Linked DNA regions of Saccharomyces cerevisiae S288C. Changing the gene in region 1 together with any one later gene gives a genetic interaction. Each region holds a gene or a part of one and is shown in the gene's direction. Other genes may lie near its edges.

Region 1 (6,569 bases):
ACCTTGAGCGTCTCTGTATATGGTTTTTCGTGTTTTCGATTTGTCTGCTACTGTGACAAGTGGCTCTTGAGCCCTGATTTCCTTTAGATCGTTCTTGCTTTCGTTGCCAGTAATTGACGATGCGGAAGGATGTGTTATTGCATGGGAAAGCTCGTTTGTTTCCAGGTTCTTCCATATATTCTTGCTTTTTTGTTTGTCAAACTTGCTGAATGAAGCAACTCCTGACTTCTCCTGTTCTTGTTGCAGTGTACTTAGCCGTTCTTTTACTATCAAAGAAGTTTTGTCTGAGTTAGCGTCTGATTTTGACTCTTTCTTCTTCTTTTTCGTCTTATTTTTGGGTTTCGTGGGCCCATAAGTCTCTGATAAATACTGATGCAATGCCATGTAATAAACGTCCTGTTGTTATCTTCCACCATTCGAGTCTTGAGAACAACTTTCAAAATCAAGTCAAATAGCCATTTTCTTTATGCCATTTTCTAAGCGCGTTCTACAAAAAAAAAGCTTTTAAGCTTTAATACCTTTTTTGTTTACGTTTGCAAACATTGTTATCGTTCACATACCTGCATTTCCATCCATGCTGTAAGCCATTAGGTGTTTGTATGTGAGATGGTGACTGGTGAAGAAAATGTGTATCTAAAGTCAAGCTTATCCATTCTCAAGGAGCTCAGTCTCGATGAACTACTAAATGTGCAGTATGACGTGACTACCTTAATCGCGAAACGTGTTCAAGCACTGCAAAATCGGAATAAATGTGTTCTCGAAGAACCTAACAGTAAACTGGCTGAAATTCTATGTCACGAAAAAAATGCTCCTCAACAATCCTCTCAGACGTCTGCGGGGCCAGGTGAGCAAGATTCTGAAGATTTCATCCTTACTCAGTTTGATGAGGACATAAAGAAAGAATCAGCAGAGGTTCACTATCGTAATGAAAATAAACACACTGTGCAGTTACCGCTGGTTACTATGCCACCTAATAGGCATAAACGGAAAATTTCGGAGTTTAGTTCGCCTTTAAATGGCCTCAACAACTTAAGCGATTTGGAAGATTGCTCTGATACTGTAATCCACGAAAAAGATAATGATAAAGAGAACAAAACAAGAAAACTATTGGGAATAGAGCTCGAGAACCCTGAATCTACATCGCCAAATTTATACAAAAATGTTAAGGATAATTTCCTGTTTGACTTCAATACGAACCCTTTAACAAAGCGAGCCTGGATTCTCGAAGACTTTAGACCAAATGAAGATATCGCCCCGGTTAAGAGAGGAAGAAGAAAATTGGAGCGATTTTATGCCCAAGTTGGAAAGCCAGAGGATTCTAAACACAGATCATTGTCAGTAGTTATAGAATCGCAAAATTCGGACTACGAATTTGCGTTTGATAACTTGAGGAATAGATCAAAATCCCCCCCAGGTTTTGGAAGACTGGATTTTCCCTCCACTCAGGAAGGGAACGAGGACAAAAAGAAATCCCAGGAAATCATCAGAAGAAAGACAAAATATAGGTTTTTAATGGCAAGCAATAACAAGATCCCACCGTACGAGAGAGAATATGTATTCAAAAGAGAACAATTAAATCAAATTGTTGACGATGGATGTTTCTTCTGGAGTGATAAATTATTGCAGATATATGCTAGATGTTAAACGCCAGCGATCATCATTCTTTATTCATTACTTCAAATACATTTTTTTTGGTATGGTTGAAAGGGCTTTTTTCCTCGTTGGCATATGGGAAAAACTGAAAAATAAAAAAAGGCAATGAGATGAACAACAATGGAAAACAAAAAAGGGCGAATAAATAAGCAGCAGTTGGTAAAGCAGAAAGGGGAAGTTAACGGACGTTAAACAAATGACACCTAACTTACCAGGGTTTTATTATGATAGAGAACGTCGACGTTATTTTCGCATATCTGAAAATCAAAGCATTTCTACCACGGGAACGACGAACCAGTACAGAAAAGATAATATAAAGCGACAATGTGTTGAGGAAAATTACGATAAAAAATTTTCTATGATTAAAAAAAAACGTCAGCAAACATTACAAAAGTACAAGCTTAGTCTTCTGAATCCGTTGGAAAGGGCTTTTCGCCCTTTATCATATGAAAAGTACATGATTGGTTTAAATATGCAGTATGCATCGCATTCTCTCACTGAAGGTCATCACTCACATAGTTCTGCTAACGTAAAATCACTCAATTTTCCACACAGGATACAGATAGGAGTATTAGCAAATTGTATTTTATTGGTAACTCAAGAAGGATGTTTTCATAGTAAATTAGTATTTGCAACAAACAAGGGCTATGTCGCAGGATTTTCATCCCTGGATAATTTTTCTGAAGAAAATTTCTTTACGGGGTTTTCCATGGCTGAATTAAATCCTATGTTGAAATATAAGTCCGAGCCAACTGATGTGTTCAAAACAATGAAACTTGAGAGAACAGTTGCCATCAAGGAAGGGCCGAGCCATTATTTTTATCACAACGTTAATACCAGATCTAACGTGCATACTTTTGCCATCTTTTTACAAGACTTTTCTTCCTTAAAACTGCTCAAAATTCGTCAGGTCAAACTCAAAGAAAATTGCCAAGTCCATGATTCTCTTGTTGTTGGAGACACGTTGATTATTACCGTAAATTATCGTTGTCATTTTTATGATTTGATTCCAGAAACCTTTCCAAATCCCTATATCTTTTCTCCTGCCAAAAGCTCAAGAAAACACAAAAGTAGGAGTGACATTACTTCCCTATCATTTTGTCTACAAGAAGATGCTTTATCACCTTTAAAAAAAACGAACACCGGTGTGTTTTATTTAGGTTACAGAAATGGTGATTCAATGGCAATAGTCTTCACTAATATTACAAACATGACATTACAGTACTCCAAGACCAACGGTATGACATCAGAAAGTCGAAATCAACCTATCAGAAATTCCCTAAAATCTGTTGTTTCCATAAAAGCATTGAATAATAAAGGCCTAATACTTATATCTGGAATGGCAGACAAAGAGAATGTGCAACAACTGGTTATAGCAGATACGTTCCTGGAGGACATTCTGACCGAAATCCCGGTTGTATCTTTTAAAACTAAGTTCTTAAACGTGACTAAGGATACAGAAATACTCGAGATATCGGATGACGGGCGCTACTTCATTTATGGTTCAACTAGCGCTAGGGACGGAAAGGGTGATTTTGAAGTATTTTGTACCACTTTATCTGGAAATCTTGACTACGAAAAATCCGAAGGTGGAAATATCACCCTCTATCCAATAGGAGGTATGAAGAACTACTGTAGGTTAGAAAACTTCCAGTTTGAATCTATCCACCTACATTCGGCTTTCATACCCCCAAGGTACGTAAATCCGTTTGATGCTGTGGAACCTCTAGGTGAAGAGAGCAGTACTTCACCTTACGATATACCTGAAGAAGCACTTTCTCAAAAAATATGCATCTTAATTCGGAGAGAAGATGATCCCTACAATGGGGCCAATATCTTCATAACATCTGCTTTGACCTAGTTTAGCCCACCGAGATTTTTGCTTTATAAATATTTTAGCATACTTTGCATTCATATACATATTCATATGTATAAATATTCTTTAAATTTTAACGCCGACTTCGAACTAATTAGCAGTCAAAACCCAAATGTAATGACCTTATGGTGTTATAGCATAATTCTTCTTGGTGTACAATTCCATTCTGAATAGTTCAACGATTTTAGATATAGTTAGATATGATATTATAATAAAATATACAAATATGTATCATTGTTAGTACAAGTTAAACCTAAATATAATAAAGCCAACCAAGACAGGAACCAGTAGAAAAATTTATACAAATGACAAAGAAAAACAAACGGTATTTTCCTATTTATTAAAAATGCTTGAGCGAATGGATATTTTAACACATTAGTGTCCTAAAGGACAATTGGATTTGAAAATAAAATGACAGTAATAGACAAAAAGAAAACTGAATGAATGAATGGACGTATGGATTGCTTAATGAATGAATGAATTAAATAATAGTTGGGCGTAAGTTCAGAAGATGAGGAATTTAAAACAAAAATAATCGTTGACAAAAAACGATTCAAAAAAAAATTAGATCATTTTGGTAGGGAGCAATGCTAACCCTGCAAAGGCAGTGGGAGGATTTTGGATACGTGTTCGGAAACAGAATACAAAATATAAAGATGGCAATAGTTTGCTTTACCATTTTTTTCCGGCTCAAATTTTGGGACTTTAGTAGGACGTCATTGCTTAGTTGAATTTTTTATTTTTTATTTTTTATTTTTCTTTTGTCTTTGATTTCTGCGTAAAATATTTGTACAGTAAGAAGGAAAGAAAAAGAAAGAAAAAAAAGTATTATGGCAAAGTGAATTGAAGTTCATCAGATGTTCTAGCGGTATTCATGGCAGGCATATTGGAAATACTAGCGTTGCGGCTCATATTAACTTGATTATATGGGCCTTGACCAATATGCTGCGACTTCATTGACAAACTTGAATCCCAGTTTGCACCTTCCGTTTGATATTGCATACGAGGCACAAAAGATTCATTGAAGTTTTGACTATTTGCATTAGAGTATGGCGAGAAGTGATTAGCATTAATTTTGTCGGTTTCATTCATCATAAATCCAGGCTGCTTAAATCCCCTTGAAACATTAGGATTCACATTGGTAATGTTAGATGATGAGAACGAATGGATTGGTGCAGCAGAATTAGGATGTGCCATTAAATTTGCAAACTGGCGGTTGTCGAAGTTTTGTAACGAGTTATGGCTTACCAATGGTGGGTTAGTTTGAGAATTGAAAGAAGGTGCTCCCATCGAGGGATATGCGTTTTGGTTGAAGTTCATAATTTGTTGCGGAGAGTGAATTTTCTGATCTTGTGCATATTGGTTTGAGAAATTATTGGTTACAGAGCTGTTACTTCTTCTATGGTAAGCATTAGCTGGTAAAGAAAAATGACGGGTATGACTCTTTTGATTATTATTGTTATTATTATTGTGAGCATGGTTATGATTATGATTATGATTATGATTATGACTATTTTTGTTATGGGGGTTCTTATTTTCGTTGTTAATCGTTTGAAGATTGTTATGACTCATTGCAGTGACTTGAGGAGATATGTCAGTGAATGGTATACCTGTGGCTTCTGCATAAGCTTTAACTTTCAACTTAATTTTCTTTGCATAGGATGTAGTTTTAATACTTGGAAGTAATTCTTTTGTAAGGACAATCAAGTTACCAATTTTCAATGAAAAATCGTTACAAAAGTTACCGTAATTCAATGTACTAGAGCTGTTTTGCCCAATTGCGTTACTATTTTTGTTGTAAGCAAGCAGAGGAGAATAATTCTTAACGTCTAATAGCGTTTGTAACGCATAATTACCAAAATTATCCCTGATTAGCACATTTAAATTGACTGTGAATATATCAATGGTAGTCAAAAGAATGTTCATAGAAGCATTAATCACGTCATCAGAAGCAACTGCAGTCCTTTGGGAGGCACCCCCATTGTTATTAACAATAAATCCAGTAATGATTCTAAATAATTTTTTAATGAATTTTTCCACAACATTTGAGGAGAACTTCAAACAAGATAGTTGACATAATTCATTGGATAAACGGTTAAATAACTCAGCCAATAAGTAAAAGTCCAATTCTTTGATATCTAACAGAAATTGGATGATATAATTACCGAACTGATCGTTGATTAATCCAGGAAGGAACTGCACAATTTTCACAGAAATTTTGAAAATTTGTTGTAGAGTACAAACGCTTAGTAATTTTTGTAGTACGCAACAACCATGTTTATGGGTAGAAATGGTAATGATATTATTTTGTTCTACAATAGCATCTATGATGAAACCAAATTTTGATGGCGAGAATTTGAAAATACACTTTTGAATCACATGGTTACCATTAAGATCGTTTATCAAAGTAACCACTTGCTCAATCGAAGTAAATTCTTGGGAAAATCCCTTAATAATGAGATCGATTTGAACTTCGTTATCGACAGTGTCTATAATTTTCTGTAAGGAACGAGTTCCGTACTGATTGATTGATATTTGGAAAACATTTGGATATATTGTTTGTATTAATAATGTCTTTTGCTCGGCAGTTAAATAATCGCATAGTTTTTGAACCAAATAGTTACCGAACGGATCCAAAATAAGGTCCAAGAAAAATGGCTTAATTTGTTCATACATCAAGTCTCTCACCATATTGGATTCACTGGGGGTTTCTAATTTTTTTTGAAGAAAACGGCAGCCAAACTGGTCAGTGGCAAGTTTGATATAATCCAGATCTCTAAGGGGTAGTGCGCTGATTTCGACCATAGATGAAGACGTTGAGCTACTCAAACCAAATGACGAATTATCCACTCCACATTTGGAAGCAGCATTATTACTATTGCTAAAATTTCTGAGAGATGCAGCAGGAGTCACTGAAGAGGATGGTGTTTCCATAATTAAACTGGAGGTATTGACACCAGAGTTCGAAGGAGCAACAACCGTGAAATCGTGGCTTGATTTTCTCCTGGGACCATCCATTTCCAGATCAAACTCATTGATT
Region 2 (2,376 bases), on another chromosome or scaffold:
GCATTGTTCTTTTATACGTGTTGGGAGCACGTCGTAGAATTGAGTGGGATTGAGTGGATATACGCTGCTATTGCTATCTGGACTATTGATAGGCTAATTCGAATTGTTAGAGTATCTTATTTCGGTTTCCCTAAGGCTTCCTTACAGTTAGTTGGCGATGACATCATTCGAGTCACAGTCAAACGACCAGTAAGGCTATGGAAAGCCAAACCAGGACAGTATGTTTTCGTTTCATTCCTACACCACCTGTATTTTTGGCAGTCACATCCTTTCACAGTCTTAGATTCAATTATCAAAGATGGTGAGCTGACTATTATCCTGAAGGAAAAAAAGGGAGTAACAAAACTTGTCAAAAAGTATGTGTGTTGCAATGGAGGTAAGGCATCTATGAGACTAGCTATAGAAGGTCCATATGGCTCTTCATCTCCAGTCAATAATTATGATAACGTCTTGCTACTTACGGGAGGTACTGGTTTGCCAGGGCCCATTGCACACGCCATTAAACTTGGAAAAACGTCAGCGGCAACTGGAAAACAATTCATAAAATTAGTGATTGCAGTTAGAGGGTTTAACGTACTCGAGGCTTACAAGCCGGAGCTGATGTGTCTAGAAGATCTTAATGTACAGCTTCACATCTACAATACAATGGAAGTTCCGGCATTAACTCCTAATGATAGTTTGGAAATTTCTCAACAAGACGAGAAGGCCGATGGAAAAGGTGTTGTTATGGCAACTACCCTAGAACAGTCACCTAATCCAGTTGAATTTGATGGTACTGTTTTTCATCATGGAAGACCCAATGTTGAAAAGCTTCTGCATGAAGTTGGTGACCTAAATGGATCGTTAGCTGTGGTTTGTTGTGGGCCTCCTGTTTTCGTTGACGAAGTAAGGGATCAAACGGCAAATCTTGTTCTAGAGAAGCCTGCAAAGGCAATCGAATACTTTGAAGAATACCAAAGTTGGTAATCAATTACCTTATTTATTTCCTCACTATTTTACCTATCACAAGTATATATTTAATTGTTTTGACCTGAAACATAATTTATGTCTAGCTGCAATGAAGACAATTGATCGACTTTCACAAACTTTTTCAATCTACTAATCTTTGGAAGCATTTTTTAACTGTCTCCCACTCTTGTTCCATGACTTAAATTTCTCTTCCTCCAAATTAACTGAATTTTTTTTCTGGATTGATGTTCTTTCCAATTGTTGTGGTAATCCACAGCTGGTATAACATAAAAAGAAGTTTTTTGTAAAAAAAAAAAATTTCTCAGTAAGCATATAAGCCTCAGTGAAATAAAATTTTAACAACTACACGCTATTCTATTCCATTTGCCCTGCTTTTCTCGCTTCGTTATCACCTAACCACTAAGAACATACTAATAATACAAAATTTTTATCCACTTTTTACCAACAGATTTTCATGAAATATCCATCTTCTTTCCGAATTCTGTATAAAATGAAAGAGAGATTTTTTGCTCTCAATCCAGGCTCAAGGCTCTTGAGAACAGGTAATTGTTGTTTAGCACGTTTTCAACACATTTATCAGAAAACGACAGTTAAAAATAAGACGAGCGGCGTTATCATCCTGATAGTCACTAAATGAAAAGCAGGTACTTTTGAAGAGCACATGTAATATTTGCTCAACTGATAATACCTTCATTTTATACACACTTCTAATTTTTTTTTTAAAATCAGATACGCATTGATGTTCAATGTAGCATTACCATCACAAGACAAAAAATCAGAATTTTACAAGCAAAAGCGCTTATCTTTAAGGACCAACATATTAGATGAATTCTTAAGGGTTGCCAAAACGCAAGACAACAGGCAAAATAATTTCGTTTCTCAGTACCGAAATGACGAAATATACTGAGGCAAATGCGATCATCATGCCTTTGCGCCAAGAAACTCCCTTGTGAAGAACTTCAAACCGAAATGGGAAAACTTTGAGTTATTGACAGGGAATACGGAGGGGAAGATCACACTTAAATCCGTATGAGCCGCGCACATAATGGTATTCAAATACACAAGAACATTCATGAGCTATTTTTCATCCGTGCAAACGAATTTACTACAATTGGACCAGAGGGCACCATAACTGGAGACTTTGCTACTGACTCAACGTTGATGATGCGAGTAGTGGGTGTACTGTGATTTGCTCATTTTTTTTTTTATAGAAAGATTCGATTAATGAAAGTCACAGGAGACATTTTTACATAGACATTCCGTATATGTTGCGGGTATCGCGGATGCGGATTAGTGATGCCTTTAACTACATTTCATAGATTTCTGTATACCAATTGAAATGAGTGAAGTAAGCTCCTACAGTGAAATATCTGGGTGCTACTGACGCCAAGCCCTACAGCGATCGGA
Region 3 (3,246 bases), on another chromosome or scaffold:
TTTATCATCTATCCGCTTATAATCACGTATGTTTGACCATGCTTTCGCTTGTACTACTTCCGTTTGCCAATTGTTCATAAAGTCGATCTCAATCATTTTGGACCTATCAAAGACCAGTATTTTTTGGAAGTGTGAAAACCATTCTATTCTTTTCCATGACGATAATTCTTCTGGATCAAAAATCGTACCGTGGAGGTTATCTATTAACTGTAGTTTCCTTTTGTTATTATTATTGAAATTCTTTGGTATCCTCCCGATACTCCAGTTACCTTTTATATCAATGATTGCGAATTGTTGTAAGTCCCAAGGATTGAATGCAAAATCTACCACCTGAAGGTCGTCTATTTCAACAAAATACAGTGGTTCTGAACTACTAACCATGACATCACATGATCTTGAGTGGACACTTTCAATTCTAAAGATTTGGAAAGAATTTTCGGTGATTATGCCCACCAGGTTTGATCTCCGCCCGATGGACTCAGAGGCCCCCGGTATCTTAATACTCTTGATAGGTGAATGCAATTCGATACTCGTTACATTGTTATGTCGGTTTAAATGCAATGTATTTTGTCGTGTCAGAACTGCTATATTTAGGACTGAGCCTGTTTTACCCGAGGCATATGCTATGATTTCGGTTCCGTCTCTATAATTTCTTAAATCTGATGCTGTCTGAATATATTGAGAGTCCAGTCGATTAGCCACAGTAGGATCCCAAAAGAAGGCGTCTTGCATCGGCCTCGAAGAGTTAGTACTTTCTTGTAATGTATCATCTAAGTTGCGCAGCAAATCTGAAGGAATGTAATCTTGAAATGAAACTGGCGTATCGCAGTTCACACCAAACATAGAATCATTACCAACGTCAACTTTCTTAAAAAAATGGACATCTTTCGGTACCACGGGTATCACTGGATTGACCACTATAGATGTATCCCCCTGATTGTCCGTATCTTCATCAATATCGCTAGTTATGAGATCATCGTCGGCATCTGATTCTTGCAAAACCTTGTCGTCGGAAATATATCTTATGGCAGTATCACAAAGCAGACTTTTGACCACTATATGAAGGTCTAGTGCATCCTCGGCCAATGTATCATCTACTGGTCTTAGCCATTGTGGCTTTTCTTGCTTCTTCGTAGTGTAATTTTCTTGCGGACAGTAAAGACTGGCGCCTTGTACACCAACACCCAATTGCGAGCCTAACACATCTGAGCTTGGAATTTGTCCCTCACTCATGCTCAGCCCATAGAACGCCTTCTCTCTTTACTTCAACTTGCCACATCAATATCATTACCAAACTAATATGAAAGCTCATCTCGGTTTCTTAATCGAGAGAATAAAAATTATCGTATGCCCACAGGGTAACCCATATTTATATCAAATGGAAGAAGCGTCCATTAAGAAAAAAGCAAAAAAAGCTGTACCTGCTATTATGGAGAGGAGTAAGCGCTTTTCTCATTAACGTAAAAAGAGAGGTAAGAAAAAAAAGGAAGGGGACCTAGGCACCTCATAGTGAGAAGATTGAAAACGGCGTATCAAACAAATGGTTAAAATGAGAAGAATAACACCTACACGCCTCCTATTCACATGCAGATATATTTCAAACAATGCTTCTCCACCAGTGCAGCCCTTGAATGTGCTTTTCTTTGGTAGCGACACTTTCAGTAATTTCTCATTGCAAGCACTCAATGAGTTGCGTCAAAATAATGGAAGCTGTGGTATAGTGGACAATATTCAAGTAGTAACTAGGTCGCCGAAGTGGTGCGGTAGACAGAAGTCTATTTTGAAATACCCGCCGATCTTCGATATGGCAGAGAAGCTTCAATTGCCACGCCCAATTACATGCGACACCAAGCAGGAAATGTTGGCGCTAAGCAAACTGACACCCAGTCGCCAAGGAAATCCGGAGAACGACGGCTCCGGTGCTCCGTTCAACGCGATCATTGCGGTTTCTTTTGGGAAGCTCATTCCGGGTGACTTGATCCGCGCGGTGCCATTGGCGCTAAACGTCCATCCTTCGCTACTTCCCAGACATAAAGGCAGTGCACCTATCCAGCGAGCTCTGCTCGAGGGTGACACTTACACCGGTGTAACTATACAGACACTGCATCCGGATCGGTTTGACCATGGTGCAATTGTAGCGCAGACGGAGCCACTGGCGATCGCAACAATGCTGTCAAAAGGGAGAGTCAATGATTCGACGGCAGATTTTAATTCTGAGGGCCTGCCTCGGAGGACTGCCATACTGATGGACCAGTTGGGCGCCCTTGGCGCCCAACTTTTGGGCCAAACGCTTCGTGAGAGGTTATATCTACCACAGAACCGTGTGCAAGCGCCAACAGCTTACAAACCCAGTTACGCCCACCGTATAACAACAGAAGATAAACGCATTCATTGGGCGCGCGATTCTGCCGCCGAACTACTTAACAAACTCGAAACGCTCGGTCCTCTGCACGCGTTCAAAGAAGCGACAGCGGCAAGAAAGGACGCTCAAAATTCAGTATTAAAACGAATATTGTTTCATGAGTGTAAAGTGATGAGAGACGCACGTCTAGATAATGGCAGTAAACCGGGCATGTTCAAATATGATGATATTAAAGACTGTATTTTGGTCACCTGTCGCGGCAACTTACTACTATGTGTGAGCCGCCTCCAGTTCGAAGGTTTCGCCGTAGAACGTGCTGGCCAGTTCATGGCGCGCCTGCGGAAAAGATGCGGCGCCCTGAGTGAAAAGTTAGTTTTCCTGTAACCCGGCTCTACATTCCTCTTTTAGTATTCTTCTTCTCCCTTCTTTCAATCCCTCATCCATCGGTCTCTCAACAACTATGGCTGCCAAGCCCTACGCGCTATGAAGAAAAAGAAAAGTAGGCCCGCCTTCTTTCCCAGTTGCAGTTTATTTATGATTCGGAAAGATTGATGTTAGTAATGGCTTGTAGTTCATAACAGAGTGAATTAAGTGTAGGAAGCCCGGAATTAAATATATAGTAAAAAGAGCACAGGGGCGTTTACATCGGGGTAAAAAAAAATGCCTGCACCAAAACTCACGGAGAAATTTGCCTCTTCCAAGAGCACACAGAAAACTACGAATTACAGTTCCATCGAGGCCAAAAGCGTCAAGACGTCGGCTGATCAGGCATACATCTACCAAGAGCCTAGCGCTACCAAGAAGATACTTTACTCCATCGCCACATGGCTGTTGTACAACATCTTCCACTGCTTCTTTAGAGAAATCAGAGGCCGGGGCAGTTT

The links.
Region 2: mutations in YGL176C (region 1) and YOR381W-A together harm fitness less than expected from each alone (positive genetic interaction), as found in Saccharomyces cerevisiae (one large-scale study listed by BioGRID).
Region 3: mutations in YGL176C (region 1) and FMT1 together harm fitness more than expected from each alone (negative genetic interaction), as found in Saccharomyces cerevisiae (one large-scale study listed by BioGRID).

What each region holds. Positions count from the first base shown.
Region 1 is NC_001139.9:168,360-174,928, reverse strand, and holds YGL176C (uncharacterized protein), read left to right. Parts: upstream 1-1,849; coding exon 1,850-3,514; downstream 3,515-6,569. Other genes in the region: BUD13 (Bud13p), read right to left, coding at 1-384; ssDNA endodeoxyribonuclease SAE2, read left to right, coding at 607-1,644; MPT5 (Mpt5p), read right to left, coding at 4,358-6,569.
Region 2 is NC_001147.6:1,056,715-1,059,090, forward strand, and holds YOR381W-A (uncharacterized protein), read left to right. Parts: upstream 1-1,708; coding exon 1,709-1,876; downstream 1,877-2,376. Other genes in the region: FRE3 (ferric-chelate reductase), read left to right, coding at 1-966.
Region 3 is NC_001134.8:200,516-203,761, forward strand, and holds FMT1 (methionyl-tRNA formyltransferase), read left to right. Parts: upstream 1-1,540; coding exon 1,541-2,746; downstream 2,747-3,246. Other genes in the region: RRN6 (Rrn6p), read right to left, coding at 1-1,233; bifunctional glycerol-3-phosphate/glycerone-phosphate O-acyltransferase SCT1, read left to right, coding at 3,023-3,246. UniProt on the Saccharomyces cerevisiae protein: Formylates methionyl-tRNA in mitochondria and the cytoplasm. Responsible for the formylation of the 8 N-terminally formylated (Nt-formylated) mitochondrial matrix proteins that are encoded by mitochondrial DNA.